Oreochromis niloticus: one gene and its partner. The main gene of each other region encodes a partner of the protein of the gene in region 2 in a complex. Links are inferred from orthologs where the notes say so. Each region holds a gene or a part of one and is shown on either strand. Other genes may lie near its edges.

Region 1 (16,192 bases), on a different chromosome or scaffold from region 2:
AGAACGGGCCACCACTCAGGGTCTTTTCCAAACCACTGGATGGCTTGGAAAATGTGAAAATTATAAAAAAGGAGAGCATACATTTTTAGGGTTTTTACCGTGTTTTGTGTTAAAAAATTACACACAAAAGAGTGTGAAATGCTGCCCTGCCTGGCTAGACCAAAAAAATAAAAATAATAATAGATAAGCAGAAATGGTAAAAATGGCCTGTATTTATATAGCGCTTTTCTAGTCCCTAAGGACCCCAAAGCGCTTTACATATCCAGTCATTCACCCATTCACACACACATTCACACACTGGTGATGGCAAGCTACGTTGTAGCCACAGCCCTGGGGCGCACTGACAGAGGCGAGGCTGCCGGACACTGGCGCCACCGGGCCCTCTGACCACCACCAGTAGGCAACGGGTGAAGTGTCTTGCCCAAGGACACAACGACCGAGACTGTCCGAGCCGGGGCTCGAACCTGCAACCTTCCGATTACAAGGCGAACTCCCAACTCTTGAGCCACAATCGCCCCAGAACTTGACTTAAAAAAATTAACAAACCATGCAGGTAACAGGATTGACATAAATTATTTTATGGACAAATATCTACATTTAATTCGTGTAAAAGTATCTACGATGAGCATAAATAATGGGAACTAAAGTTTGATTTTATAGTCTTGTGTGATAGTCTTTCACATCTTTCTCCAGTCACAGTTTTTTTTCTTGTCAGACTCTCAAAATGTGGGACACATTTTGTAAGATAAGGTTTACTTTATCTGTCTAAAAGCAGGCGTTAGAGCAGCCAAAGCATTAAATGAAGGCACTAAAAATGGCGTAAAGCAGAATAAATAGTAAACTTTTTTTTTTTAAAAGATTAAATAAAATGCATTTTAAAAAGCAAAACAGTTAAATATATATATTAAGGGGTGAAAAAGAATAAAAAGGAGTGTTTCGTTGCAAGTGGGACACCTGGTCACACTTATAAATATCATCAGATTCTTGGTAAATACTTATATTGCTCTTTTCTACTCTAACTGTGCACTCAACGCGCCTAACACAGCTTGCCTCATTCACCCATTCACACTAGCACTTTTTTCTATGCTCTTTCTATCTAACATTCACACACATCCATATGTCAATAGATGCATCGGAGAGCAACTTGGGTTTATTTAGCATGCAGACTGGAGCAGACCACCTGAGCTACAGCCACCCCAAAAAGCTTCTTCACAGCTCCGTTTGCCTGTTTGATTCTGAAACACTGATGGATTTCCCAACTGCCTCTTTAGATTCAGCGATACTTATCAAGCTAATGTGCTCATGGGTTTTTTTTTTTAATTATTTAAAAAGCCTTCTAAAGCCTCAAAATACTCCAAACTGTGTTTTAGTCATTTTTATGCCTCTTGAATTTTTGAATCCAAGTCAATATCAAACATCCAACAGTGGCATGTGGAACTTTAATCCAGGATAACAAATACAGTGTATAACTCATGACATGCAGTTTAACCTCAGAATTGAAAATATTTGCATTGGAGTTCTAAATTTTCTACTATTTCTTGTTAAAGGTTGTTACCTTTAGGATACTGGATGCCTGTGCTGGCATTTCTCCTGCGGTGTTGCTATCAGTGTGTGAAGAGTGGGAGAAGAGGGTTGCATTGACAATCCAACACAATGGGCAGCACATTGAACACATTTTATAAGTGGTCAGAAACTTGTAAATAACTCATGAAAGAATAAAGTTACGTTGAAACCAAGCACACCATTGTTTTTCTTGTGACATTACCAATAAGTTTGATGTGTCACATGGCCCTCTTCCTATTGAAAAAACAAAAGTTGTATCCAAGATGGCCGACTTCTAAATGGCCACCATGGTCACCACCCATCTTGAGGAGTTTGCCCCCTCACATATACTAATGTGCCACAAACAGGACTTTAATAACACCAACCATTCCCATTTTATTACGGTGTATCCATATAAATGGCCCACCCTGTATTATAAAGAGTTACAGAAGGACATTAATTTCATTCTGATGGGAGCAGAAAGAAACAGAAACCCTGTCTGTGTCCAAATTGTCTCTAAAGTTCACTAATCACTTCAGGTATTATTTATTTAACCTGTTAAAACAAAAAGTAAAAATTATTATTTTAAAGCAGGTTTATGTGCAAAGTTACTTCTTGGCACGCAGGTGCATTTAGGTTATAGGGGCATCCAGCAGTTAATCCAGATGTTTTTGTGCCCAGCCAATCCAGTATTTCTAGAAATAAATAGATTAAAGACAGTATTATATGGTGAGCTCTGCTAAGCAGATTTCTATTACCGTTGGGCAAACCCAGGCAAGCTATTTCCCCCCTTTTCCTGGTTATTGTCCAAAGTAAACAGCTCTGTGACTCATGGTTAACAGACAGAAATGAGAGTGGTATCTGTTTTGTCACCAAATTCTCAAATTAACAGGGCAAAAGAGCGTCAGCAGTGCTAAATTACGGTATCTCTTTAAGTAAACACAAAACCCTTCCAGTGACAGTAAATCCACAAGTTTAAGGGGATTTTCATTGTTTCGTGTTTTCTTCCTGGAAAACTTCAGGCATCTTTGGCTATGAGTCTAATTTTGTTCACAGCTAATAAAAACAGATACTCGTGGGGAAATATTTGCCAACTCTGCTGGAAAATGTGATTCATGTAAATCAAATGTAGAGCAAATTCCTCTTCTGTCAGGCGGTTTTTGTAGGTGCATCCAGGAGTCATCAACAGCACCTCATCTATTATATGAGTGGTGTCAGTGATGGTTTTGTGTGCAGGGTAACAACAAAGTCAGCAATGAGCGCAAGAAAAGACCAGAGAAAACTAAGCAGACACATAAAGTTTTATTCTCCCCCTTAAACCTTGCCATACCTAAGGTCAAAGGTCATTTTGTCATGAAAAGGCTCAACTGAAATGGTTCAAAGTGTGGCATCACATAGAAATTCAGCTACTCTGAATCTGGTGATGTATACGTAGCCTGAAAGACTCTGTTAATTGAATTCATGTGTCACAGTCATGTAAGGATGCAGTTATTTTCACACAAAACATATGAGTGACTGCATGTGTGCACGTGTTTGTGTAACATACAGCGTGCAGCATACAGGGTAAAGTGCTGCCTGCTAAATCAAACAAATGACAGTTGGTTTCGTCAGTCTGGACAATAACAGATAATTCAAGAGTGTCGGCTGTGTGGCAGAGGGGAAATGGAGCATGGTGCGGTGTGCACAACATAAATGCCGAGGGCTTTTTATGAGAATGATGTAATGTGAGAAATGTGCGAGTTTGCAGGAATTTGTAAATGACTCAGTCTTGAGGTTAGCCTCCTCAGATTAACATTTCCCCATTTGTGAAATCTGTGAAAAGCCAACAGTGACTGTTTGAAGTTTCTGTGAAACTCAACATTTTATGATTATGTTGTTTCTACACTACTATTCTCTCCAGAATTGGATCATTTTATTTAGACTCAAGTAAAACCTCATTAAAAATAGCATTACTATCATTATTACTATGAGTACACCGCATGCTACTGTACCCTATTATTGGCAAACTGATGTACTTAATAAAAGTAGAGAGAAACACAGTAGCAAAATAGGGGTGGTACATGTTGTTTATGTACATAAACAGAAGATAAAGATGGAACCAAGTGTATGTTTATGTACAGCATATTGTATTTACAACCGTCTATTACCTAAAGAATAAATGTACTACTACACACTGTTCACCTACATTAGGTTTATAAAGAAAAATTGGTATCCAAGATTTTGTACATCGAATATAAACCCATGTAGTAAAAAGAAACTTAACTTTCATTATAAACTGGTTTTTGGGTGATTGTTTTTTTTTGTTGTAACAATCTTGACTTGAGTATGTGGGCTGTGCCCATGAAAAATCTTCTCTGTCAAGGCAAGACATCTTATTTTGCTTTAACTCACTTAACCTGGTTCTGCCAAAGGTTTTTCCTTCTCATTGTCACCAAGTGCTTGCTCACAGGGAGACGTCTGATTGTTGGAGTTTCTCTGTATTATTAGGGTCTTTACCTTACGATAAAAAGCGTCTTGAGGTAACTGCTGTTGGGATTTAACACTAGATGTATTGAATTGAATTGAATTGAATTTTGGTGTCATTTATTGGATTGGTTGATTAATGTCTGAAGAAACAAGACATTGGCAATTTAACAATTGATTCATTTAAACAACAGAGACCAGCATCTTATTCTCTGACCAACACTCTCACATTGGCTGACTTGCAACAAATGCTGGTTGAAGAATGAGATGCCATCCCACAGCAGTGTGTAGCCAAGCTGTTGACCAGCATGTGGAAGGAGATGCGCCAGGCTATTGTAGGTGTGAATGGTTCTTTCACATCCTACTGAGTCCTCTGTTTGCTAAATTAATAAATTATTAAATTTCCAATATGACTCTATGTCCAATCATCCAGGTAAGGAAATCCCCCCCAAAAAAGATTCTGGATGAAGTGTTTTCAGTGGGAGAAATGTTTCGTCACTCATCCAAGTGACTTCTTCTGTCTTAGCTGACTGCAGGTTTCCTGAACTTCGTAAATAGTACATTTGCATAATGACTGACACTAGCACCACTGACTGACAATGGGCCATGAGGTCAGTTTCGTGGTCATTAATTTGCCAGTTGTCATGACCATTGATCAATGACCATTCCAATATGTCTTGTCTTTTTATGCTTAAATCATCATATCATGTTTGGCTTAGCAGTCTATAAAAGGCGTCAGGTGATACAATGTTTCACCTGTTACCAGTCATTTTAGTTGGTTTTATTGTGTTTGGTGTAATTTTACCTTTTTTGGGGGGGGGGACGCGTCTCAAGCTTCCTGCCTTAATTGAGTCGGTAGAAGCCATTCTCATGTTAACACCGGTATATGTAAAAATACATAAACATATGTATGCAGACACAAGTAGACCAGGATTAGAAGCAAGACAAGCAAGCAGTGGAATCCAAAAATGAAAACAATTAGCTCTCATACCTCCTTTGGTAAGGTTACTGTATCTTTGGACATACATTTTTGTGTCACTCCAGACTGGTTTTAGGGTTTCTATTAGCCTATTTCACCAGGTTTTCCTGATGAAAGGCAACATTGGCACACTTTGGCGATCTAAAGACACAGTGACTTTTCAACCATGAACTATGACTCCTCATGTACAACAAACACAATGACTTATGGTGCTGGCCAGTGGGCTCCGTGGACACCTGAAAGCAGTCTGACCTACATTCATCAGCTGAAAATTGTATCTTCTCCCCATGTTTTACCTTATCTAACTTGCCCCACTGACATTTAGCATTGAGCGTGCGGCTGTGACTGGTAGCTATGTGTTACAGTACGTATCTACATGCATGATGAGCCACTGGAGAGCTTAAATAGCAACAACAACTCACAGAAATGATTGATATTAGAAACTCCTGAATGTAAATATGCATTAATTATATACTCTAATATACAGTAGAATTGCGGATCAAAGCAACAGAAGGCATTAATCCCAAATCTGATTCAAGTGATTTCTAGAAATTGATTCAAAAGGGGGAAAAATGCATCGCATCCAATATGCCTTGCAGTGAATAAAATTTGCATAATTCAAGTAAGATGAGGTTGAGAGCTCTTGCATTATGCAAATCAGGGTATGAGTGGTATATTAGCATAAAGTGCAATCATAAAAGGAAATGTATTGGCATTACTTGTCTATCAGTTGCTCTTGAGTGTGGCACAGTTCACTGAAGCTGGTTCATTACCATCAATCTAGAGTGTAGGTATTACACATGTTACTGTAGTTGGCTCGCTCAGCATTTACATGTGTGTGTGAAAGTGGAGAGGAAGATTAAATTTAGTGCATATGAAGATGTTTTCCCTTGAAATATTGCCTGTATATTAGAAGCTACAAGTTACTGTTATGTCTTCAGTGGGGAAGGATGATTTTGAAGGTTTGTTGTTTGGTCTGAAATAAAAACAGAGTGTCAGAGATGAATAGAGATTCAAGTCTGGGGATGAGACGGAATGAATAATATTACAGAGCCAGACATATTTAAAGTACAACACTGCAAATAGAGAGTGTTGTTTCACATTAGAAGTACAACAGCTGACAAGGGCTCTTGTGGCTGCACACCTCTCAACCTTCACTGTGAGCAGCACCACTTCAGTCAGGAGGTGTTTGATGCACCACAGTGAAAGCTGTAACACTAATAGTGCAGCAACCCAGACTGATGGGCAGGACAGAAAGAGGCTCCATGCCTGACACTTTTTGTCTTGAAAGCGCATGTGGCCTTTTCAAATGTCAAAGCAAAGGGTGGATGTGACTGAAGAGTAAAAATGGCATGAATCAATCAATCAACCCAAAAAAGAGCTGAAATAAGCTGCTGTTTGTCCTTGTTTAGCTCATTTGGATCTCGTATTTGGCACCATTTCGTCCATGCTTCACTGAAAACTGTGGAAGTGTCCTCTCCTCTTTCCTGAGTGTTTACTGCTCATACCAAAGATGCAAGAAACAGAATAACTGAGTGTTTTAGTACAACTGATCTGCCAGGATGATGAAAACTACTAAAAGAAAACAAATTTCCTGAAATGTGGATTAATGTGGGAAATTTCAAATTATTGTTATGAGACTGTACTGCCCTCTAGGGGTGTACAATTCAATTTTTCCAGCTTAGGAAAAATTGAATTGATAGTATTATATTTCTTCTCTTTTCCAATCCACTTCACTCTTTCAATCAACATTTTTTATTGAATACCTGAGGATGAAGTAAATTTAAAGAAGGCTTGAAGATAAAGAAACCTTTGATGAGGCATCTCTCTATTACCCTTCTTTGTCTTTTCTTATTCTTCCTTGATGGAGGATACATTAGCCAGTTTCCCCCCCATTTTTGTTTGTTTGCTTTCAGTTTCTAATTAGTTTACGGAGAAATGTTGTTTTGTCCTATGGCCCATCATGTGGCATCTCAGACTCCGGTCTTTTTGTTTCCTTTGCTCAGGCCCCCAGACCCTTGTAGTTCATTTATATTTACGTTACTCTAAAAACACTCAAATAAACACTTGATCATCACTGTATAAACCAAAGAAACTTCAGGGATATCACTCTGTCCGTTTAAGAAGCATAAACCATCATGGAACATTTGTATCAAAGCTGGGTCTCCCAACATCCACTGAAGGATGCAAGGGCCTGATGCCATGCCACACAGCAAACCTTTCAGCCTGTCTGCATGTTCTAACCTGGAAGAGCGTGTCACATGTGTGACCTGAATGGGCTGCAGATACCATCTCATGCTACTGGTAGTATCAAGGACACAAGCAAAAAGCAAAAAATGGAGGAGGGATGAAGTGAGAGCAATGGTTGGATGGATTTATAATAATATAGTAATTTATTCATTCATTCATTGTTAATTTATTTCAAACATGTAAACAATATACATGTTTGAAATAAATTAACAAGTAACTAAGTAAAGAAAATAAGAGAGACAAAAATACTATACAAAAGTCAATACATTTCAATATTGCTACCGTTCTGAGTAATTTATGGAGCTACTTTACCAAAAACCACTGTATTGTATTATATTCTGTGCTCTTTGTGTTTTGTTTTCAGGTTTACTTATTGAGCTACTTTATTTTTTAAATAATTAATTTATAATGTTTACCACAGCGTCTTTATTTTGTCATATTGTACTTTATAGTTGTTGCTGCCAAACGACTACATGTCCCATGAGCCTCTCTTCACTGGCGTCACGTCCGCCTTTTTTAAGCTTCTAGGACTAATATTACAAGGTTAACTAAAACCAGAAGGGAAAAAAAGAAAGCCATTGTCAATGTTATAGTAACGTTTCGATGCAGTAATAGTTTAAAAAAATCTCATTACCCTGGATGATTTTGCCTTCGTTGATTTTTTTATAGCCTAAAAGAGAAACGGCTGCCTTGCAACTTCCTGGTTGTGGTGATGTCACTGACCTAAACTTGTGTCATTGGTTTGGTCTGTTGCTTGAGAGTTTTCCCGCGCTACCCTCGGCGTAAAACAACACAGTGAGCTGTCACGGTGTAGCTAGCGGCTTAGCAATATTTTACCGTATCTTTACATCCACAGCTAATTTTAGCTATCAAATAATGCCATCATCAGACTATGATCCAGCTTCTCTGCCGGACCTATTACCGCTGTACTACCGGCGGCTCTTCCCATTCTCCCAGTATTACCGCTGGCTGAGCTACGGAGGAGGTGAGTACACAGGCATGGAAACCTAGCATAAATAAGCTAAATAACTGGGGGTGTTGATCTGTGTTGTGTTATATAGGAAGCTAACGTGTTTTGTTAGGCACTAAAATGGTAGAATTATTCTGGATTTGACTTTCTTCCAAATTAGTAAGTCATCCTATACAGCCATTCTAGCTTCATGTTAATCCCTCTACTTTCATCAGTAAAGATTAAAATGATTTTGTATTAATGCATCCTACGAACACTGTAGTAATGCTGTTGTTTAACAGGGATGCTGAAATTCTGGTCAGTTACCAGTGTTTAGAATAGTGTTTAAAATAGGTCAGTAGCCAGTAATGAAACAAATGTTTGATTTGTTTGAATTGTTTTGCTGTTCTTCAGCACGTTATCATTTATCCAGCATAAACATTGCATTAGACACTCAGTTCATCTGCAGATAAATGTGAGCACTCTCTTCTTGACCTCTGTTGTGCACCAGCCATTATTGTAACTGCAGATGTATAAATATATCCACCTTTACTACCACTCCTTGCAGCTTCACTGTTACACCTGTCTCCCTCTCATTCACAGACATTTATTTTGTATTACGTCTACTGACTTTCATTCCTCATTTCAGAATGGATGGTTGCAGTACTGTAACATATGCTTATAAATGAAACTGTAAAAGTGCCGTTGACAGTAAAGACAGGATCCACTGCTCTGTGATGCTGACATGTATAACTATTAAGAGTTAGACAGAGAGTTAAAAATGCCCAAATACAGGACTAATGTGTGTGTCTTGTTGAATTTTTTTGTTTCTTTGTTTTTCTTGTACAATCTCAGTGCAGAAAAACTACTTTCAAAATCGCGAGTTCTCGTTTACCCTGAAAGATGACATCTATGTACGCTACCAGTCGTTCAGCACGCAGAATGAGCTGGAGAAGGAAATGCAGAAGATGAACCCCTACAAGATCGACGTGGGAGCAGTGTACAGCCACAGGGTAATTTTCCACACCTTACAGAGTTTGTGCATCACGGCAGACATATGTATGGAGTATGTTTGTCACTCTTTGTTGCCCACAGCCAAGTCAACACAACACTGTGAAGTCGGGGACCTTCCAGGCTCTGGAGAAAGAGCTTGTGTTTGATATTGATATGACAGATTATGATGACGTCCGAAGCTGCTGCAGGTAGGTTAATTATGTATTTATTTCCTGTCGCAATCGCGGAATATCCTGACCGTTTCATCGCCCACATAACACTTTAAAACTGTCATTTTAGTGCTGCTGACATCTGCTCCAAGTGCTGGACCTTAATGACCATCGCCATCCATATCCTGGATAGAGCTCTTCGAGGTTTGGTCATCACAGATTCAGTGCCAGGTGACAGCTTGTGTGGATTTTTGTTGAAATTCTCATCAAGCATGTGTTGGTTTTTGTGTTACTTCCAGATGACTTTGGTTTCCAGCACCGTCTGTGGGTTTATTCTGGCAGAAGAGGAGTACATTGTTGGGTGTGTGATGAAGCTGCCCGGAAACTCTCTGTAGCAGCGCGCTCTGCTGTGACAGAATACCTCAGCCTGGTCAAGGTACGAGTACTTCAACTTTTAATAGAAGTCCTTTGTAAGTACTTTCTACTTCCTAACTTAATCAATTAAAGTTTTTTGTTTCTTTTTTTTATAAACTTTAATTAACAGATGTTATTGGATATAACCACAGTTAACAGGTTGGGATTGCTAAAACATAATTTGAATGTATAACGCAGTTAGAGAAAAGTCAGTCTATTGATGCATTGCACATAAACCACCAAACGCTACTTGTCCTGCCAGACTACTATAATAAGATGTTGAACTATTATTATTATAATTAGAACAAAGTGTCGCACGTACATTACAATGTGCTTCATGTGGATTCATAGAACAGACCACACAACAGCTAGAACAGCATGCGATAGATAGACATGGAGTACAAATATTAAGACTCTTAAAACAAAATTAAAAGAGCATTTATTAAAACTTAAAAAAGATAAAACAAACTAATACCAGGGTTTGTATGGGTACTTGAAATCCTCGAAAATGCTTGAATTTTAATATTGTCTTTTCAAGGTTTGAAAAGTGCTTGAATTTCAGATGTGGTGCTTAAAAGTGCTTGAAACTGTATTTCATTCACCACAAATAACTATCTGACCGAATAGTTTTCTTATCAGATAGAGAAAGAAAATGAGTCGCAAAGTCTAAAAGCAAAATTTCTCCACCTGGGCTGCCAAGCACCTCTGCATGTCAGTCTGTTTCAATGTGTGACCCCGCCCCTCCCCCGGACAGTTGGGGATGAGTGCACTAACATGCCTGGAAATTGCCGTTTTAAGTGTTTGATGGAAATGACAATGGCAGAGTTTGCGCTCTCGAGTCACATGATAGGTGAGTCCTAGTAATTAATTTTTGAGAATGTGTACATATGTGTACAATGTGTACGTGCACATTTTTAAAACTATTATTATTTTGCTAGCTATCAAACTTGCTGGAGAAATGATTGAAATGCACTGAGTGTGATGTAGTACGGCAGCGCTATTATAGCAGTTAGTTATGGCATCGCATGGTGATTTATAGAATATGCTGTGAATTTGGCTAACATTACTTAGCAGTAGCAGTAATGTGAGTTACTTCACTCAAGTAAAAGCTTTAAACGTTAGTCCGATACTTAACTAGCCAACTTAAGGCTTAAGGAAATAATGGTAATAAGAGGGACTGATCCATATGGGCACAAAAAATAGCCACTTTTGTTGTGCTACCGAAGTTCCCTGGCTTTCATTCAAAATCTGTTTATTTTTATAAATTATAAATGGCTTCAAGCTCACATTGAGGCCTGTGGGGCACTATCAGCCACTGAGACAATAGACAAATTTGAGTGTTTTAATATATGAATATTTTATACTTTAAGGTTGCCTGTTTATTTAATGGAGATGAACAATATATTATAATTGTACCTAATAATATCACAGATGATAGACTAAATAAATAGATTTTAGGTAGATGCTTGTGCATTCTTAAAGTCTTATATGTTGAATTGAACTATGTCATCTGTTCAAAACCTCTCCCAGTCAGAGCTGTTCTCCAGGCCTGTGTTATTGTACATGGTGTTATTAGCACAAACACTTTAAAGGTGATCATTTATGACTTGAACAGTAATGCAGACAGCAATGTAGTTAAACTTACAGTTGGTTTTATTGGGAATTAACTTTAACCTGTTAGGCCTCCAGGGGTTTTCTGAGCTTTCTGCTCGAAAATGAAATGACCAAAATAAATGGAGTATTTCTCTACAATTACAAACTCTGTGTAAACAGTCTTGGTATCAAAATAAAGGTAACACTTGTGAGATGTCATCAGAGGTGTAAATATTACTGCAGATGTTACTATGTCAACATTGCTGTGACTCAAACATAGAAAAATGTGATATTTTTTTTTTATATCCCTCGCCTAATTTTTAAAAGTATTTTATAGCATATAACGCCTTTGAAAATATGCTTCGGTTCACATTTAACTCCAGAAAATCATAAATCAAAATATGGATATTACCTGTCCAAAGATTCATGGTGACGTAACTGCTCTAAACTGTTTAGTGTCTTTGCTTTGTTTGGTGTTTGTAGAAATGGTTTATATGAGATTTTAGCTGAGATTCAGAGGTTTCTATGGACACTACTCATGTCGGCACTTATATTCTGACCTCGTGTTATAACAGATTAAAGGTGATCTCCTCCCTTTTGCCCCCATTTTTTGGGGCGTGGGTGATTAACTAGTTAAAAAAACAAACATCTGTCTCCTATTTTTTGTGCCACATAGGAAAGCCAATATCTGATGAGAAGACTTATTAATTTGGCCTTGCTGTGTATTATTGTGGTGTTTGGTGTTTGGTGCAGTTTTCTTGTTTTGTGCGATTGATGTTTTTTTGTTTTGTTTTTTCTTTTCAAGTGGAGAATATCTCTACCAAGTTGATTTATTCACATTTGCAAATCTTAATTTTTAAGAAAAATGTGTTTTTTGAGTTTGTACACTATATGAATATAATGCAACACTTTCCTTTTTCAGTATTTGTCTGTATTTGTCTTTTCTATGTTTTAACAAAAGGCGAACAAAGGACATTTAAGTCAACCTAAAATGATTTGTTTTCATTTTTACATGGCCTTACTGAGGTGATGCTAAGAACTGGGTAATGTGCTTGAAAAGCTTGAAAATGGACCTTGAAAGTGCTTAAAAAGTGCTTGAATCTGACCCTGAAAAATGTGTATGAACTCTGTAATACAGTACTTATTGAGTTAAAAGATGTGACTGTTTTCCTTACATCTGCACAGTCTTAGGACTCTGATTTGATTATTAATCAGACTGTTGTCTTATTTGTTGTTTCATGAGTAGCATACTAGAGAAATTTATCTTCCTCAAATGGCCTGCAATGTTTGATTTTAAAAATGTGATGTTTTGTAGGGTGGTGATGAAACCGTGAAGAAAGTAGTGCTGACTGAACCAATTCACCCTTTTATCAGGTAACTGTTTGATTAATTTTGGTGTTAGTCTCTTATAGTCTGTGTCTGTGTTCCAGCAAGATTGTACCCATTTATTTTTCAGTATTTTTCTTGCTTTGCCTCTCTTTCATCAGCACAATCTCTGGACATCATTTTTAATTAGGACCATTTTTGTAAGCAGTGACACACTGTGTTCTCGTTTGCCTTGTGAATTTGCTAATTACTTTCACTGAGACAGCTGTCCTGGATTTCTGTGCTTGGGTGCAGTTGTGATCACAGTGATCACCATGTCTGGATACAGTGATCACTGGTTACACACTCTTGGGTTCAGTGCACTCTGTGCTTTTTAAAATTGTGCCTCTTTTTAACAGCAACTCTCTGGACGTGGTGAAGGAATATTTTACCCAATATGCACTACATGACCAGGACCTGATGGGAAGCAAGGAGTCTGTAGAAAAAGTGCTGGCACTCGTTCCTGAGGATATCCTTTTCTTAGTTTACCGCATATTTGCCGCATAAAGTAATTGATTGGACCTATAGACATTTGTTGGCAAAGACTTCAAAGATCTTGTTGAAAGTGACTTGACTTTATATATTACATGCCAGAAGCTACCTACAGCAGGAGTTTGAAAAGGAGAAGAAGCCTGAGAAACGTTGGAAACTGATTACGACAGAGGCTAAGAGGAAACAGGTTGGTAATTTTGCTCACAGTTTTTACATTGTTTTACACATTAGAACAGAAGGGCTTGTCGTCTTACAATCTGTCTCCCTGAAGAGCACTGCAAAGAAGGGCCAGTACTTTGAAAAAGAAATCATGCTGCAGTATTGTTACCCACGGCTCGACGCCAACGTCAGCAAAGGTGTGAACCATCTGCTGAAGAGTCCTTTCAGTGTACACCCCAAAACAGGTGAGCATACTTTAAAGAGGCTTGTATTGGAAATGTCTGGGTACTAAGAGTACATGCTAGTAATGTTAGTAATATTGTATCACACTTTTTGGGCAAAGGTGCTCCTTGGAGTCAAGATTATTTGCTTGTTTCCTATATTTTTGCATATTTGTCAGACTCAAATGTTTCAGATAATCAGATACATTTTGATATTAGACAAATATAACCCAAGTAAATATAAAATTCTGTTTTTAAATGAATGAAAATTTTAAAATAAAAAAAGCTTATCCAAACCTACCTGCTCGGTGTGGAAAAAGTAATACACTGGATGGATATAAAATATTGGCTTCTTCATTCTGTTAAATGACATTCTGTCATTCATATCAAGGTTTATATTCCTGAAATGTCAGGGAAATGTCAGCTGTCAATAAAGTGTGTCAGTATATCAATGTCAGTATATCAATAAAGGCTTTTTATTGATATACCTCAAAACTCAGAGGACCTTGGATGTTTTTTCTTTTGTTTCTTTGTCCCCAGGTTAATCTAATCTGACTTAAGTATGAGTGCATAAAACTGCATCCTCTCTCTCTCTCTCTGTCCAGGCCGCATTTCTGTTCCCATAGATGTCAGTGAATTGGACAAATTTGATCCCTTTTCTGTGCCCACGATCAGGTAATAATTTAATGTTTGGTGCTCTGTTGTCTGCAGCATGTGAGTGATCCTCAAGAAGACTGATGTTGTAACATTTTGTTTTATCTTGTTGTAGTCTGATCTGTGAGGAGCTGGATCGGCCCAGGCCAGGCGAAGAGAAAGAGAAATTAGGGGATGGGAAGGAGAAGGAAGACGAGAAAGATGCAATAGAGAAGCGCAAGATCAGAGGTGCTGGGGGAAAGAAAAATGCAAAGATCTACCTGAAACTTTTACCTAAAAATACACCTGGATAGCACATAAAACTTTGAAATCTTTAGGCCTTTAAATGGGCTGACATAAGGTGTTTTGGGGGCTAGGGTCTTCTCAACGGTATGATGTTTTTTTCTGAGTGTAAAGATCATATGACGTAAAATAATCACCCGCACTCTCTAAAATGCTCCTTACATAATTCGCTGAGACGTACAGGCCTAGTCACTAGTAAGCGATACAAAAAATTTGAATTCCCCTGCCAAGTGGCCAATGTTTGCTGGAGGTTGCTGACTGTTGCTAGGTGAAATTGTTTGCAAAGAGCGTGCTTCATCCAAAATCTTATGATTGTTGTGGTTGCTACAAGATCACCTATTGTTTGCATAATTGCTTGGTGTTGCAGAATTATGAAATGCATCAAAAACAGCCTAAAGATGTTGAAGGACCAGATCAAGGGAAGAGCTAGTGACATATAAAATGTTGTCATCTGCATAAAAATGTACATTTTGGGTAGCAAAGTTAATATTGTTTATGTACCTTTTGCCTTTAAATTAAAAGTTGTGCCTAACTGCTGTAACACAACATATCTCAAATGGTGGAACTTTTACTTTGAAGGTGATCATTCTCCATGTCTGGTTCACATCGCATTTTTCACAATTTCACTGCAAATAGTTGGTGAGTGTAAGTGCAGACAAGTCAGTGTTTCTCATGTTAAATATACATGACTGCATAATCTGCTAGCAACCAAAGCAATGAAAAAGCAAACTTGTAGCTAATTTCACTAGCAACTGCCATCAATCACACAACCTTTCAAAATCTATGTACACCTGAATGAATGACTGCTGCATTGGAGTATGACGTTCCCCCCCCAAAAATTGGAACTTTATATAGTAACTTTATTGTTACTATATTCATATTGTGTAAATATTTAAACATATCTTTGATGTATCTGAGTGTTTCAGCTCATGCTACTTTTGCTACTTTTCTTCTCAGATTACAAAAGAACCAGCCTGGCGAAGTACATAAAATACTTTGACCAGTTTCTGGATGGAATGGCTCGTTCATGGAAAGCAGAGCGTCTCAGAAAGAGTGGTGAGTTTCTTTTTTTTTTTTTTTTTTATAGATTAAACAGAAAATTTACAGCAACTTTTAATCATTTTGCTTTTCTTCCTTTTTTTTCCCCTTCAGATCTTCAGAAAGAATTCTGAACTGGATCATCAGAATGTGACACCTCAGAACAACGTCCTGTTGCCTAATGTCGCTAATTATGCTTTGTGGTGTTTTTGGTGCCGTTTTTCTACTACACATTAATTTCACCAGAATCTGTTTTATTTTCTTTGTAATAAAAGACTCGGTGATAAAACATTTATTAAAATGGTTTATAAATCCCCTATTTTTTACCATAAAATTTCTCAGTAAAGATTTATTTGTCTAATTGTTGGCTGTTTTTGTGATGAATAAATTCAGTATTTCTACTCTTGCAAACACATTGTCTTCCTTAAAAAAAAAAATTAAACAAAGGGTTTCACATGATTCACTTCATCCACTGAAGCTTAAGGATGAGGAGTCCCGTTGATGTGTTAGCAGGGACTCCTCTGCCTCAAATCTGTAATATTCAGGTTATAGGCTTTAATAATAACGTGTAACTATCCAGTTCTTGTAATGAGAGTTTCAGCAGTTCCTGTGAGTCCATTCAGTCTGA
Region 2 (16,578 bases):
AACAGCGTGTCTCTTCAGACAGAGAGAGATGCAGCCCTCAGGAGTAAGCAGCATTCTTGTAGATGTCACTTTGAATTCACTGGATCCCACTGATGTATCATCTCACCTAAGTTTCTTCCCTTCATGCTGCACCAGTCTATTAAATGTGTTCTGAATAACCTTCATCAGTACCCCCCTCAATTTATAGGCACATTTCTGTCTCCTTTTTTAAAAAAATGTAGTAGATTTATGTGTGTCCTGATCTTTCTGGTGCAACTACTTGCCTTTGATCACAGCACAGACAGAAGCTGCAGGAAAAGAGAGCACAGGAATGACAGTAAAGGTCAAACTGGCTGGAAATGAAGCTGGGGATAGTATTTGATGGCGTGTGGCAGTCATACTAACAACTTAGCACTAACCCACATTTTATAGAAAACATCACATTCTTGTTACCTCTTAATTTTATATAATTTTTAAGTTTTTAAAAATACATATTAGTTAAACGGCACATGCTGGAGAGGAGGTTACAAAAGATCAGAAACAAGTGTTCTCCTCTTGCTTTATTTCTTAATACTTACTACTGTTTTAGACAAGCAAATTCATTCATCCATTCTTCCATCTTTCAGGTTATCTGGGAATTCGAGTGCCATTTTCAGTCCCACAGTTGGAGTGGCCCAAAGTTCAGAAAGCAATGACTCGTCAGAGAAAAGCCTGAGGAGCAGTAGCAGAAGGACAAAGAAAACTGGGGATCTTTCTGTTCAATCACCAGGATCTCAGAAGGAGGCAGAGGAAAGGACTGTGAGTAAGGGAGGTGACTCCGAGATTCAGGACACTGGTGAGGAGTCAGGAAGTTTGAGTGAGACATACGAGGGTGAAAAAGCAGGGAATCAAAATCATGAAGAGAAAACAAACAGATGCAAAGAGTCAGGATCCCAGAAGGAGAAGGAATCAGAAAGTGACAGTGCAAAGAATAAAAATGATGATGCCGGTGAAGTAGAAGAGCAGGACAGTAGCAGCGCTGAGCAAAGCAGCACAGGAGAAAAAGTTAAAGATAAGACAGAGGAAAACCTGGAAGCTGAAGAAGACGGTGAAGAAAAAGAGAAGAGTCAAAAAGATAAAGAACAAGATGACTACGATATCAAACAAGGTGATGGTGCTTCTGCCAAGGACGCAACAGAGGAGGAAGCAGAGACATCTACAGATGATGAAATAGAGGAGCAGGGAGGTGAAGAACAGTCAATCAGGCTGAAGAACGAAGGCACTGAGAACAGAAAACAGGGTGCTGCCTCCTCTCAGGACGAAGAGGATGGAAGTGAAGGCAGTGAAGAAGAGGATGAGGACTCGAATCAACAGGAGGATGACAAAAGTGAGGAAGAGGAACACGGGAGTGAGGAAGATCAGATAGATTCAGACAACTGCATCGTCACACCACAAGAAAAGAGGTAAGATGGTGAAGGATTGAAATATTCCTCACAGACATCACAAAAATCTAATGCAATCCCCGTTTTTAGATCTACACAGATTATAACTGATGAGGCAGCTCAGGAACAGGAAGAGGGTAAAACAGGATCTGATAATGATGACTCAAACGAAGTCAGTGATGAAGATGATATTGAGAACCTTCTTGCGCCTCAAGAAGAAACACAGGAAAAGTAAGTACTCTTTCAACTGACTGACTTAAATTACAGTGTGAGATGTGCCACTCACTTTTCCTTTTGCTTTTAGAGAAAAGTATCTGAGAGCTGAAGAGAAGCCCAAAGGTACAGTATAACCAGTCATTACAGTAGCATTAGAAAGGCTGCAGGACTTTTGATTTATGCTCAATTTATTTTCCAGCAAGTTTTCCCAACATGGGAATTTTTCAAGTGGAGCATGACAAGTCGAAGACGGAGGACCCAAATGACTCTGATGAGTTCGATCATTTTTATGACTAAAGGTACTGCTGTGCAAGTTAAAAGAGACAAAACTGTATTTAAAATTAAGTACTGCAGAGTAGTGTTTTACAATATTGTATTAAAAACAGAAACAACAGGTTATTTAATAACTGTTTTATTTTTTCTTGTTTTAATTAAAGGCATTTTTGAATGTTACAATCTTAAACTGGAATACAGACATTACTCAGACTTCCCTGCAAACAAAATTATTTTCAATTTGAGCTACAAAAGCAACCGGATTTTTCAGCGTGTTACTTCCTCCTGTTAGAGGCACAGGAACATAAAAAAAACATCTGAACAACAATAAAACTCAATTGGAAGAGACAATGTTACAAAAGCTGTACAAAGGGCAACAATAATTTATTGAAAAAGAAATTATTGCTGCTGTATTTGACTGATAATCCATCAGTTATGAGCACAGTACACTTCAACATATTCAAGGTATAAAAATAAACCAATATACAAAAGAATTTTTTTTAAATGGTTTTCCATCAGCATGCCTGTAGCACAGCTGGTCCTGGTTAAACCAGCTCACTTCTGGTGACAATTAGAAGTGAGAGTCTGCACTCTTGTTAGATTTTCACCACCTGAGCAGTCAAACACGGGCTCTCCCTCTTCCCGTCTTCTGACTGAGGGCTGCGCTGGATGAGCAGCCGCCCGTACGTCCCGCCCACCTGGCCTTTGGTCAGCCGCCCAGGGTTGACACACACACAGCCAACCACGTCCTGAAGATGGGAGGGGATTTTAAATAACATAACACTCGTAAAAAACTCATCCAAAAAGAAAAAAAAAAAATTCACGTTTAAAAAAAAGAAGCAATAATTTTTCTGTTTTACTTTATATTATCAATGCAATGCCTGATGATTCTGCAATCAATTAGCTCAATAAATGTGTATATATAGGATGTCAAAGGGAAGACGAGTTGTTTACCTTTACAAAGTAGCGCATTTCAGAGGGAACAACAAGGACGTCGGGGGTGAGCGGCATTTGGCCGAAGCTCTGGAACTTCTCATAATCCATATTTACCTCGTCCGCAGGCGGATACAGTGGGTAGTAACTGGACATGAGAACATGGACACGATCACTAAATAATACGTGACCTCAAATAAATAAATAGATCTGAACTCCTTCAGGATTTACCTTCGCTGTGTGAGCATGTGCTTCAGTATGCGTGAGAATTTGTCTGAGCCGGTTCCACTGCAATGCAACACATCAATTTCAACTATGTACACTGATGACCTTCATTGGAAAACGTGAATAATTTAAGAAAACGGTCACACCTGTTCTTTATAAATCTGAATAAAATGTAACTCACTTTGGTGTTTCTGATCTTGACTGCAACCTTGATGTCAGAATTTGGTGCAAATTAGAAAACAGCCTTACTCACCAGCTGATTTCCTCTGGACCCATGTGGATGAGGATGTCAGTTGATGTCAAGCCAATAGTCACACCGTCAATCAGCAGGGTGCAGGGGTCAGGGACCAGGGTGACACGCTGCAAAGCATGAAGACAAACATTATATAACCTGAGAGCATGACATCTCTAGGACGGAAGACAAACAATGCTACACTATTAAAATAAGGTTTGCCACGAGTGCTCAGAAATCTGCTGCATGTGCTCATCAGCATGCAACAACAGTGTCTAACCTGGGCCTGTTCTTTGTTGATGTGGGGCAGGCTGAATGGAGGCTGTGGGTAGATGAAATGGTGGTGGATGTCTCTCTGAGAAGGCACAAACACCAGCTGACAGCCAACACTGGATTAAAGAAAACGAGAAAACACGAGGCTTCATTGTGGTAAAGAAAATCTGATTTGAACAGGTGAAAAGCATAGTTTAAAAAAAACAAAAGACAAAAACAAACCTCGAATCGTTACAGTGTGACTGATCTCTCTCTTAACTTGCTTGTATAATGTGATAACATAGTTTATGCACAAATAAATGTAATTAAATGCAGCAACAAGAAAGACAATTTTCATGTGCAATTGCAATTGCATGCAGGTTACGTCGCAGGGTTTCAGATGGGGTTGCAGCTAAATGTCCTTAAGGCACAGATTTAAAACAAAAGCGAAAAAACCTCCTGCTACTTTTGGAAAATTGCAGAAAAGGTCACACATGGATCCTGAATTCAACATTACAAAGGAAGTGACATGGATAGGGGGATTTCCAAAGCTGTCTGACTCTGAGCTTTGATTAGACAACACATACCTTCTGGTCCCATCCACAATGCTTTCAATGCATCTGTTGAAAATGTTCTCAAAAGTCTCAGTCACCTGGGCTTTCTATTTAAGAAACACATGAAGATGACAAAGAATGAACAAACAAACATATATGTTGATTAAAATGAATTCACACTGCAAATTTGGATACATTTCCAGACCCAATAACACTGAAACTAATCATTTTATTTGTGGGTTAAGTGTTATATCTTGAAGGATAACACAGAAGTTTTATTCAGCAAGTGATACCTATTAGTTTTTGTCGACACACATATCCCTTTTAAAGCATTTTGATTTGATTTTTTAACCTTTACATTTTATTTTGACTGATCGTTAAATAAAGTCCTGTTCAGGAGTTTAGAATTGTTCCTTATGAATGGTCGTCCTTTTAAAAACTGTTCACTTATCTATTGGACCACATGCTTTAAAGAGGAAACTTGACCCATTGTTATCATTGTGATATTTTGACTCAGGCTCTCGGTTTTTGTTTTTTTGTTGTGTGTGTGATGCGCAACAAAATTTACGTGCAAAAATGCGCATGAAATGTTTCCTCTTGTGGTGTACACACTCAAAATCAAGAAAAACACGGTCTCTGTCACACTGACCTCAATCTGTTCATGTTTGGAATCCACAAATGGGCCCAGCTGGAGAAGAGAAACAAGAAATAGGAAAACCAGACAAAACAGAGTCATGGGAGGACTGTCTCCCTCATAATACACTCCTGACAGTGTACATGTGAGCTTTAGTGGAAATTCTGTCATGGATAGTGTCTGTTTTATGATGGAACAACAAGGGAGACTGTACCAGCAGGCAGACATCAGGACGATCCCTGACAATAACATTGATTAAGTCCAGCAGGGGGTCAAAGGTCAGACTGTCAGAGGGAGTGTACGGTCCACAGGCCACCAGTACATTCAGTGGCTCTGCAACAAATGAAGAGTGTGGAGTGTAAGAAGATGGCTTTAAGTTCCAAGCTAAATCTGAAAAATTGATCAAAATAAAAGACAGATCTTACCTTCATCTGTCTCCATTTTCATGTTAGAACTGTAGAACGGCAGAGGAACAGCCTAAAAGCACAACACCATTACAAAAGGTTTCACAAACAGGCAAAAAGTGTTAAAGCCTAAAACTTATAACTGACCTCATAGAATTTGGAAGCCACCAGTTTTCTTCCTGTAGTGTTCATTCCCTCCATCACCACCACCTAAAAAAACAGAATAGAAGCATTTAGATAAATGTTTTCTTACATGTGGGTTTGTTGGAAAGAGCTGCAAAAACATAAAGCTACATGCTTCTGCTGATAAAAGGTTTCCTATAATTCTGAAAGTTTATTTTTATGAGAGGAAAAACTGTCAGAGCTCTCGGTCAGACACTGGGTCAGTCTCAAGCCCATGTCCTTGGCATGCTCTGTTACTCTTGGTGGCCATATAACCTGCTGCACATAAGCTCAGTGCACAGGCAAAGGAGAAACCACCGACTGGTCATTAGGAAGGACCTCATCAGCGTACCCATTTCTAGTTTCATCTGTCAAAGTAAGATATTTTCTTCAGCTCACCTGACCAGGAAAAAGAGAATACTCTTTAAGCTCCGATAGGTCAACAGGTACTTGCTGACCGCCTTGTTCTGGTCCGGCCTCTAGCAGAACCGACTGTGCATTCAGTTTGCCGTTACTGTCACAGCAAATCTGTCCTAGCACAGTTATACTGTCCTGCAGGGAAGAAGACGCAAACCCAAGAAAGAAGTTAACTTTTAATCAAACAAATACATTTAACAGACTTAAGCAGGTTTGATTTTACTCTTCAATATATATGATTTTAAGAGGAAAAAGAATTCAGTGATGTAACGTAACATTTTATCGCAACCTACTATTATTTAATAATTTATTGTTTAAGCAGTGGGGATGAATCTTTAATTTAAAAGTTTTCTGAAGGTGTCATCTCTTCTGTACCTGGGCAGGCAGAGAGACGGGGGAGAACTCCTCAATGCTGAAGTGAGTCCTGAGTCCTTCTCCTAGCTCCTCAATCTTCTCTGTCAACACTGGGAAAGACCCAGGAAAAAAAAAATATTATCCAAAGGTTCTGGAGTATATTCATTTAGTGATTTTACACTCAAACATACAGGAAATCTTTAATCAAGTGTGTGCAACTATGTACCGTTTCGAACATCTCGCAGCCTCTGGAACATGTATTTGTAGCTGCTGTTAAGGGAATCTTCCGGTCCTTCCAATATCTCAACTTGGACGCCTGCACCTGGGTCTTTCCTGCCCACCCAACGGGTGCCCTGCACAGCCCCAAATGTGACCACCACCTCCCCCTTTCCTCCCCGCTGGCTGTACTTCTGTGAGGGTGTCGCACTTCCAAAGAGAGAAGGGGAGGTCACTTAAAGTGACAGTGATGCAAATACAAAAGTTTATCTTTAAAAAAGTTACTAGTGACAAAAATAAAGCTTTCTTTTTTAACTTTAACACAACCAGAGAGCATAATTTTCATGTTTTCAAAAAAAATCAGAGCAGCATGGGGTGGAGAGTACTTGGGAGAGAAGCTGGCTGGAGACAGCAGTATGCTCGGGCTGGCCATCGGAGCTGCAGTTCTCTTTGAACGAGGATGCTCTGGTGTCGTCAGAGGTCGTTTCTGAGAGCCCTGTACCGACAGGAACAAACACAGTCAGGATCTTGTCTGTCTACATAGACTCAAACTTACTCTGCGGGAGACCCACGAGTCACATCTAGCTTATCTTAGCTTTTAAAGGAATATCAACAAAAAAACCCAAAACATAAATGGATACACTTTTTTTTTAAAGTTATGAAAATGTATTTCTTTTGTTCAGATTAGATAATGCTCTGCTGCTGACAAGCAAGAAGTGTTTGGTTACCTTAGCAGGAGTAGAGTAAGAATCTAAGAGATCCTCCTCCTCTTCCTCAGCTTTTATTCTGATTCATTTTGTCAAAGTCTATGACTCAACAGCAACATTAGCAGACACAAATCAAAGAAAACACATGACTCCACACAGTGCAGATGGACGGGTCTTTACGCTGAAGCATCAGTGTGAAGGATACAAATCATCCATCCTGCTAATGTCTCTCATTCTACTGGATGCTTCTTCCTTCCGGGAGGTTTTTCTGGATTTGCTCTTCTTGTTCAAAACCTGCAAGATGACAAACATGCTGCATTTATAAGGAGTAGAGAATGACTACATTGTTGCATATTTAATAAGTAATTTGTAATGCATGTTAAAATCTGTGGTCCTGTTACCTCATGTTCAAACTGCTCCAGAGTGTCCATGGTGAGCTTCACCCCTTGTTTTGTGGCGCTATAGGCAACCCACTCATGCAGTATCTCGGATGTCTGCAGTCTGTTACAAATACACTGCTCCACCACTGAATGGAGGATATATGAGGGAAAACAACCAAGGATTTAATCTGAGTGTCTGAGAAAATACTAGAAGCAAGTACAGTGTGAATTAATTTTGTGGGACACAACTTGCAGTGAATAATTACTGTTCTTGATCTTTAAAAATGGCTTAGTAAATATAAAAGACGTATCAATGAAATCAAAACAAAAAAAAGCTGATTTCTAATTTACTTGACTTGTGAAAGTAAGTTATCAAGAAGAAAAATGCTATTTTAGTTAAAAGCTTTAACTAACAAAAGCGCATTGACATCGGTATATAAATATTATGACTGATGACAACAGCTTAAACTACATGTCACAACACTACATTACTGCTATCCTGCGTATGGTAGAGTCCTCGATGATTACAGTGATAATACACTTAGCTTCTTTGCTAGCACACTCTCCTGTGTAAAGCCTCAATCCATATGAGAAAAACGGTCATCTTAGTTAGCAACTTACTTTTGTCGAGGACGGAATCATCCTGATAGGGTATATCGAATATTTCCAGCTCAGCCTTTAAGCTCTCTGTAGTTACTAGCGACATGGTTTTATGATATACAGTTATTACGTTGTGGAAAACGTGAAAAGCTCCAATGTTGTGATGATAGCTGCTAACGTTAGCTTTACTCTTACTTCGCGACAATGCCGCTGACCCTAGTTTTTTTTTTTTTTAACTACACGGCTTCTAAATACTACCTACAGGCGGTTAGCTGTTAGACAGTACAAACGAAATAATAATGGTCGACCTGATGCCTGTTTCATTTTACCGCGAAAAAGCGCTGTTCGTGTTGGCGGCCGGAATATGCGTCACATTCGTAACAATAATAAACGGAAGTTGGCGGTCCCACAAAAATAAAAGCCTGTCCTGGTAACTTGGTTGTTTCAAACTTTAGCAGTGTCCCACTTCAGAAGCAGAAAAACGCAAATGCCCCACAGTTCATCCAATCAACAATTAAAAACAAAGGACGCACGAATTCTATCTGAATAATGGTCAGACAAATGGCAACTAACTCTTATCTATTTATACTTATTTAATCATCTGGTTATCTGCTCCATAGTTTGGGAATCACTGGATAACATATGTGTACAGTTTAACTATTGGATAGCACTGGTCTGGGTACCACAATTCTCAGATCTTTTTATAGGTGTGCAGTGTGTGTTACTGATACTGCTCTGCTGCTGGCAGGAAGTCTCTGGAGTGGACAATTGTGTCCTTGCAGAAGATCAGCAGCAGCAGCCTGTCATTGATTAAAGATATCTACATCAGCAGGGCTACCAGTATCAAAAAGGACTCTTTAAACCCATGGACTTTTTACCCCCTCACCTCACAAAGTGCAGCATCAGTGCCAAAACAACAAGGCTGGGAAACGGCTTCTTCCCAGACCTGTCACACTCACAATCACTGCTACACACTAACATTTTTTGTCCATGCACACATTAGGAACTTGTTACGATACACAATAACAGGTTACGCAAAACAGACTCATTCTTGCAATAACTCCTATTGTCTGTTTTTATATCTATCAAAACTCGTTTGCACTCTAGAAACAACTGCACTGTAAACAACTGCATAAATCAGATAAGAATGCGAAAAATTGCATCCTTACCGATTTATATCCTTAACTTAATTATATGATCGTTAACGTCTTGTTTTTCTAAATTTAGATAATATTCCAAATTGTATTACCTGTTTAGTTGTTCATATGACTCTTCTTCTGCATAAAATGATCCCTATGAGTGCCACCTACTCCAATCAGAAATGATATAAGATAATGATAATATAGTGACCAAATTCTTTAAAGAATACAACAGTAAAATGCAAAACTATTAGAAATAAGACAGGAAATTAATTCAGCAGATAATTGTTAATCTTGCATTTAGCACACAAAGTGGTAAAATAAACATTTGAACTCCAGTTAATTATTTTAATGCTGTTGTTTATTTCTAATAGGATGGATGCATGTTAGAGCTCTGAAACTTTACATTTTACAAATTTTAAATATTCAAACTTACTGGAACATAGCCAAAAGATGTGAAAATCACTTTTGTTTGCCACCAGATCAAAGTGAAATTGATTATATTGATTGCACAGTTCTTGGTGATGAATGCCAATGTTTCACGGATGAGTATCTGAACTGGGGCTTTTTCAGGGTCCAATCTTGTCAGTTTAGGGAGATATCTCAACAACAGATACTCATTAAAGATCCGGTGGGCATTCTTCTGGCTATCTGTGACAAATACAAAGGTATCACTGCCTCTGATTTTAGGGCTTTTTTTCCAGGTTACCATGGTGATGTAGGTAAAAAGAGAGGCACTTTTATCACACTGAAAACTCTGACTTTAAACTTGTAATAGCCCACTAAACCTTCCTGTTAAACCCCTGTGTTTCACTCAAATAATGTATATTTGGTACTCCAGCACTACGTGATGTCACCTCACATCCTAAATAGATATATGCTACAGACGTTTTTCTATGGGTATAACATTGATAAGAAAAACTGAGATCAATTTGAGCCTTGGAATATTATTACAAAAATAAACTGGTGCAACCAAGCTATAACAACAACTGTGCTTTTAAAATTATGGATTAAACAGATGTTGCTTTTGGCAGCACAACTGGTGCACTTTAAATTTTTTAAACACATTCAAACCCTCTTCTGCCGCCTCCGCAGCATTTAACCATAACAGAACTCTTAAGATAAACACAGAGATTCTCAGATTTCTGCTGTGGTGGGCTCATCGTGTACAGGATGTACTTCCATCTGTTAAAACAATGACATTGCATCAGATTGTGGTTCAGTGTAAGAGGTACAGTGGTAATGAGGAGCTGCTATAGGAATTGGGTGGTGCTGGCGGAAAGCAAGCGTCTCACTCACCTTAGTAGAAAAGCACTTGGCCCTGGGAACGAATTTCCATGATGTCACTCTCCACAGTGATTCACGGAGGGAGGCTGCCAACTCATGTGTATCATGTACCTGACAAACACAAACCTAACAAGTTGTCAACGCCTCTGAATACAGTATTCAGTTTCTGCATCACACCATGAGACAGGCAGTTTTTCCACACCTTCATGCGGTTCAGACAGGCATTTCTGAAGTCCATGCTACTGCTGCTGCTCACGATGCTCATGGACGAACTGAGAATCACCTCAGCAGCTGCGTGCAGCTTTTCTTGTTGCTTAAGGACACACACAAACATACACAATTACTTTTTTCTGGTGCCGATAAGTGTTAGAAATGAATATAAAACAACCATCACAATCTACCTGAGTATAGGGTTGTGCTTAATTGCATAACCAATTCAATCCATAGTGAGTGAAAAGAGAGAAAAGATGTCAATGATCAAAATTGTTGCTGATTCATTTTCTGTTAATGGACTGTAATAGTTATCATTAGAGGACTAAAAACTCTAAGTAAAAGAAGTAGGATACTTAGTGTGCTTGTGCATGTGCGTGTATGTGTTTGTCATGCCTTTTTTCTGTGATTTTGCGATTTCAGTGTGTTCTTCAGCTCAGTCTGCACGGCTGCTACGACGGCCTGCCTGTTGTTGTTCAGAATGTCCTCCAGGTGGAGCTCTATCAACACCTCGGTGGCTGAATGATCAACAATTTGCATGTTTGCATTGGAAAACTGAAAGAAAGGCTGCCTACAGTGTAGGGTTTTGTGACTGTACATGCTGCTGCGGTTCCTCACCCATAAGATCAGTGAGCTGGGAGGTGAAGGGGTCACTATGCTGTAAGAAGAAGAAAAGCAGGAGACTCTGCTGCACTGTGGGAAGACTTGATTCCTGCTCTGGATCATCCCAGCTGTCTTTCTCTACTGTGTACACAGTACCGCCGCTATACACAAGATCTGCAGGGGATGTTGAAACATTTATGCCAAAGTAAAGAAAATAATAAGATGGATACAGTGGGAGTTACTTGAGATAAGAATTTTAAGAAGAAAACAGAGTGTTTGCATGAAGCCACACATGGGTTACAACCAGCATGACATGTATCTAACATGCTGGCAATTAAAGACACACCTCTGGGTTGGGCAGATAATTGTAAGGGCATTTATTTATTTATTGCAGCCTTTTATGTCAGCATTAAAAAATAACATGTCAAACGTGTCTCTTTTCATGCCAAATCAAACTTCTTAAATAAAATAAATGATGATGGAAGATGGTCAGAGACAGCGTGAAGCAGGATGGATTACGGGGTGTTTTCAGGTTTCACTGTGTGAATGTGAATGGGCAGGGTATTGCTGATTAATACAGACTGTCGGTTTTGTTTGTAGTTATGATTTATTGTATACAAAGGGGGAAACACTTATTGTGAAAGAGCAGTTTCTGATAAAAGGGCCGTATTTTGACTGTTATCACTACATGAGTGCGTTTAATCAAACTGCTCCAGTCTGCTCTGTGTGCAAAACAGTGACCGTTAAGTCTTTTTAAAATGTAGCTTCCAGACTGATGTGTTTCTTTTTGATAGCTCTCTTTAGGGTAAGGCTTTAAATACCTGCTGCTACTACTTAAAATAAAATCTAAATGACTAAATGGTTAATAAAGACTTAAATTAGGCTCATTTTACTAGACTGCTGTCTGGACGCAAGAAGATAGTTTGGTCTTTTTTAGAGAAGAGCGTCCTGCTTGTTAGGTACTCATTGACAGGAGAAACCATATAATATTTACAAGACTACTACTCTGTAATTCAAATGATCTTATAAACTATTCAAATATGCCATATACAACTAATTTGCAAAATACATGTTGGAAAACTATAATGCTGCTGCCTCTATGTCCATCAGTTTGGTCCAAATTTAAACCCGAAAAACTTGACGGATTGCTCTAAAAGGTTTTGGTAACTCTGATGGGACAGACTTTTTTGTGCATGGCACTGGCAGTCTTGTGGATGTGTCTTCTCAACTGCTGAATATTTTGCAACAAAACAGGTCCTGTTCTCAAGATGATAGATTTGTAGGAACTCTGGTTGTCCTGTCTTTTTATCTAGCACTGTCATCAAGTCAAACATTCAGTCTGCACGTTGCGCACAGTTCACATTCCACATGCTTTCTACACTGTCACTGTGACAATATCAATGAAACGAAAATGAAACACTGCTCATCCCAAAAGCTATTAGCATGAAAAATTATGTAAATACTTCTGAAAAAAAAAGGAAAAAACCTTTTAAGTATATTACTGTAATAAAGCACAGTTATTCATGGGAAACAGACAGTTAGGTCAAACCCTTTCTCCACAACTGAAATCGCTGCTATGAGAATATTTTGTGGTGCGACTGGAGCACTAAATCTTGTATTGGAAATAAATTTCAAGTGCAAATTAGTTGCAGATGAACCCCATTCTCATGAGGCAGGTTTTTAGAGTGCAGGGAAAACCACTGTGTTGTGACAGAAAGTAAATTCTGTAGTCCATTTTCTTTTAGTGCTTAATGCTTTTGTTTATGTTTTCTGTTCTGCGTCCATTGTTCCGTTTGGTTTTGCCTCTCCCATTCAAATGTCGGCCTTATGAGGTCCATAAAAGTCTTAATTAGCAGCCTCAGGCTTGGGCTCATTCTCTCATAAACCCACGCAGGTGGTTGAAATGAGTTTTCTTCAACAAAGGTAACAAATCCAAGTTCTAATTGTTTCAATGTCTTAATATCCCGTAAGGACAGGATTAACTGTTCCGGACTTTGGACCTACATCAGGTTCGTTTTACACTCTTTTTATTGGGAAATCAAACCTCTCAGCAAAAAGAGGTAAAATACACCCTGAACATCAGAACATGCTGTTCCCAGCAGTGATTACCTTTGAAAGAAGAGCAGTAAAGTCTATCTAGTCCCAGCTCTTGACAGTCCAGAACAGCTGGAAGTTTTTGAAAGAAGCCAGAGGGGCCATTGACAGGAATGTTACTGGGGTTGTATACCAACACATGGAAACATGTTAAGGAAGACTAATCCAAATCAGATGCCCCAAATGAGTCAGGCCCTTGTCTGAATTTCCCCTCGTATTCAATTCCTTTGCCTACCATGACAGGAAATGAGACTGTGTGGTACAGATGTATGATAAGACATGAAAAGGATATTTGTATGTGAGTAAGTTCTGTTGTCACATTGGGGTATGGCAGCAGACAGGGGGTCAGGAGTGCAACCACCTGAACACTCAGATCCCCAAAGAGGCCCTGCTCCATGGTTTGTGGTGGGATGCTGAGGGGCAACCTGCCTCCTATAGCAGGGTGTCCTCTCACACACCAGCACCCTTTCTTCACACACCACGGAGGCCTTTAAATTCAAGGGGACAAGAGAAAATCAGACAGATCAATAGGAGGCAGTTATTTTGGTCAAATCTTTAAAAGCGGCATTACTGACGGTGCAGAACAGGTGACGTCCAGGGTCAGTAACAGTTGGTCCGCCAGTGCAACTCTTCTCTTGAACTTTACACTGCAATAATATGATTATGTCAGCAATTCATAAAACAGAGACGGATATTTCCATTCCTTTGTAATTTATAATCCAGACTCCACTCAAGAGGGTTTAGCACAGCCAGCCTTTTGTCTCGTTTTTATCTTTTTACTCCAAGACAAACCACTCAAGGCAATTACAATGATCTACTGCAATACTCTTTTGCTTGAACTTTTTTATATTAAACTTACTCAAAAATAACTAGCTAAATTCTGTTTATAAAGTGACATCCTTAATGAACTTAAAAACAAAGTCATTAATTGTGAGATGTTAAACAAGAGGGAGAAGCTATGATATACATCGATGCACTTGTACCTCAGTTCCCGCAGTGAGGTCTCCCCGTTGATTTTGAGTTTGAGGTGGATTTGTATCTATGAAAAATAAGAAAGATGTAAACTTTTTTTGCTTGAAGCCTAACATGTGACTCGAGATGGGGAAACAGATCTGTTCATACCCCGGCATTAGCCAAAGAGAATGTGCGCAGGAATGCCTCTATATGGGCTTGCCACTCTGAAGTGCAATGTCTTGTGTCTTTTACCTGTACGTTGCAAGATATGTTAAAACAACATGTGACTCACACTACTTGCGTTACAACTGAAAGACAAGGAAAAAATAAATGCATGTCAGAATTCATCTGGGTTGTTTTTCTACCTGAAAAGATAGAAGCAATCTGAGGGAACCATACAGATCTGTGAAGGCACTCAGCTCCTCAGGGTCAGGCTCATTACATGGCCACACACAGGGAAACATGCTCTCTTTCAAACTGGCAAGGACTGATGTAGCAAGAAGAGAGGCGATGTAGTGCACGGAGGTTCCAGTTATGTGTACATGTCTATATTTGTGTATACATACCAGGTTGGAGGGCTTCCATTTGAATCCCTGCACACCAGGGGCCAGCCGCTGCAACTGTGCAATTAACTAGATCAATACAACAAAACATTAGCCTTTGTTCCAAGAGCTGCTGGGACAACTAGCTTCCTGTTAGTTATCTTTATACTGCAGTAAATTTACATGAAGGCACTAACAGTAATTGTACAGTAATAAATTATTTTGTTTTCATGCCTCAAGGTAACCAATTAATCATCTGTTGATGAAATGATCTTCACCATACTTTGGAGATTAAATTAATTTATGTAGACACTTAATATTTACGACATAATTTGTAGCTTTAATTGATACAATAAAAATCTATTGAAGTTTTATTTTAGGTTAGTTTCCACTCATCTACCTAGGCTACCCTAGACCCACCACTTTGTTAGGTACACCTTCTTAGTACTGGGTTGGACCCCCTTCTGCCTTCAAAGCTGCTTTAATTCATTCTTTGATGGTCAATAGGTAGTAAGGATCCCAAAGTCTGCCAAGAAAATATCCCCCCACACCAGTGAACCACCAGCAGCCTGACCTGATGATACAAGACTGGATGAATTTGTGCTTTCACGTTGTTTACATTAAATTGTGACCGTAACATCCAAGTATTCCACGATGAATTGTGACTCATCAGACCAGGCATCTTTTCCAATCTTCTATTTTCTAATACTGGTTAGGCTGTTTGTTTTGTAGCCTCATTTCTACAAAACATCCGCACTCTGTGTGGTCTACTGTGGCTGTAGCCCATCTGCTTCAAGGTTGGGCAAGAGAACTGCCACTCATCTCATATTTTCCTCTTTTTGGACCATTTTCAGTAAACCATAGAGATGACTGTGTGGGAAAATACCAGCAGTTCAGCAGAAATACTCAGACCAGCCCCTTGGGCATCAACATGCATGCCAACGCATTGTTTTTATCCCTATTCTGAGGCTCAGTTTGAACTTCAGCATAGTCATCTTGACCATGTTTACTTACCTAAACAAATTCAACTGCTACCATTTGATTGCCGATCAGATATTTTATAAGAAGCTGAATGTGTCCCTAATAAAATGACCTGTAGATATTAAAATACTGTATTTTTCTAATATATAGTGTGTATCAAAAATAACCCCATTTATCCAAAGACATTGTCATTTCAATATTTGATCAAACCCCACCTTAATCCTCATTTATCTCCCTGTTATACCTCTTTTACTGCTCATTTGGTGTTATAGCAATCTCAGCTGCTTTGACTCACCAGTGCAGTTCAGCTTTTGCGTAGAAACTCCTGTGTCAGTCCACAAAAGCAACAAAAGTCCTCCTCCTGTCCTTAAACAAAGCTTTTGCCTTTGCTTTCCCATTAGCATGAGCAAACGCAGCACCTGGAGAGGCCATTTGAAAAAACAAACTCCTAGCTTAGCATGCTAACGCTACTTGCTAGTTAGCATTAGCTAGTAATTTGCTCTCTAAATCTCTAAATCTCTTTATCCATTTTCTTTTCTACCATGAATCAAGAATAGCTATTACTTAAAAAAATTACCTGTTGCATTTCTTTCAGCATTTTCAGTTGTTGCCTTTGTGCTAAATCAGCACCCTAACCTATATTTAACATAAACTTTTGTTCCGTGTAATTAGGCTGTTGACTCATACCAATCCAGGAAAGCATCTGTATGTAATTTGAAAATGATTTATTATTTATTAGTTGTTTAAAATATTTGACACAATCATAATAATATTAATAATATTAATAATAATAATAATAATAATAGTAA

What was found.
Region 1: pola2 (region 2) and prim1 share a complex: the UniProt entries of both Homo sapiens proteins name them as parts of the alpha DNA polymerase complex. The link is inferred for Oreochromis niloticus from reciprocal best matches to the Homo sapiens genes POLA2 and PRIM1.

Annotation. Positions count from the first base shown.
Region 1 is NC_031984.2:12,814,887-12,831,078, forward strand, and holds prim1 (DNA primase small subunit), read left to right. Parts: upstream 1-7,928; 5' UTR 7,929-8,110; coding exon 8,111-8,219; intron 8,220-9,038; coding exon 9,039-9,196; intron 9,197-9,278; coding exon 9,279-9,385; intron 9,386-9,476; coding exon 9,477-9,550; intron 9,551-9,645; coding exon 9,646-9,782; intron 9,783-12,668; coding exon 12,669-12,727; intron 12,728-13,077; coding exon 13,078-13,187; intron 13,188-13,305; coding exon 13,306-13,397; intron 13,398-13,481; coding exon 13,482-13,614; intron 13,615-14,195; coding exon 14,196-14,265; intron 14,266-14,359; coding exon 14,360-14,472; intron 14,473-15,483; coding exon 15,484-15,582; intron 15,583-15,678; coding exon 15,679-15,698; 3' UTR 15,699-15,975; downstream 15,976-16,192. UniProt on the Homo sapiens protein: Catalytic subunit of the DNA primase complex and component of the DNA polymerase alpha complex (also known as the alpha DNA polymerase-primase complex - primosome/replisome) which play an essential role in the initiation of DNA synthesis.
Region 2 is NC_031966.2:21,168,586-21,185,163, forward strand, and holds pola2 (DNA polymerase alpha subunit B), read right to left. Parts: upstream 8,332-16,578; 5' UTR 8,066-8,331; coding exon 7,981-8,065; intron 7,506-7,980; coding exon 7,381-7,505; intron 7,274-7,380; coding exon 7,185-7,273; intron 7,059-7,184; coding exon 7,001-7,058; intron 6,769-7,000; coding exon 6,659-6,768; intron 6,483-6,658; coding exon 6,283-6,482; intron 6,167-6,282; coding exon 6,078-6,166; intron 5,838-6,077; coding exon 5,685-5,837; intron 5,334-5,684; coding exon 5,271-5,333; intron 5,197-5,270; coding exon 5,145-5,196; intron 5,053-5,144; coding exon 4,934-5,052; intron 4,774-4,933; coding exon 4,735-4,773; intron 4,193-4,734; coding exon 4,119-4,192; intron 3,669-4,118; coding exon 3,560-3,668; intron 3,408-3,559; coding exon 3,301-3,407; intron 3,111-3,300; coding exon 3,054-3,110; intron 2,971-3,053; coding exon 2,844-2,970; intron 2,639-2,843; coding exon 2,486-2,638; 3' UTR 2,013-2,485; downstream 1-2,012. Other genes in the region: eukaryotic translation initiation factor 5B, read left to right, coding at 1-43, 606-1,421, 1,491-1,631, 1,705-1,739, 1,816-1,913; top6bl (type 2 DNA topoisomerase 6 subunit B-like), read right to left, coding at 10,236-10,283, 10,398-10,511, 10,588-10,698, 10,992-11,113, 11,214-11,372, 13,308-13,431, 13,585-13,780, 13,868-13,939 and 6 more. UniProt on the Homo sapiens protein: Accessory subunit of the DNA polymerase alpha complex (also known as the alpha DNA polymerase-primase complex) which plays an essential role in the initiation of DNA synthesis.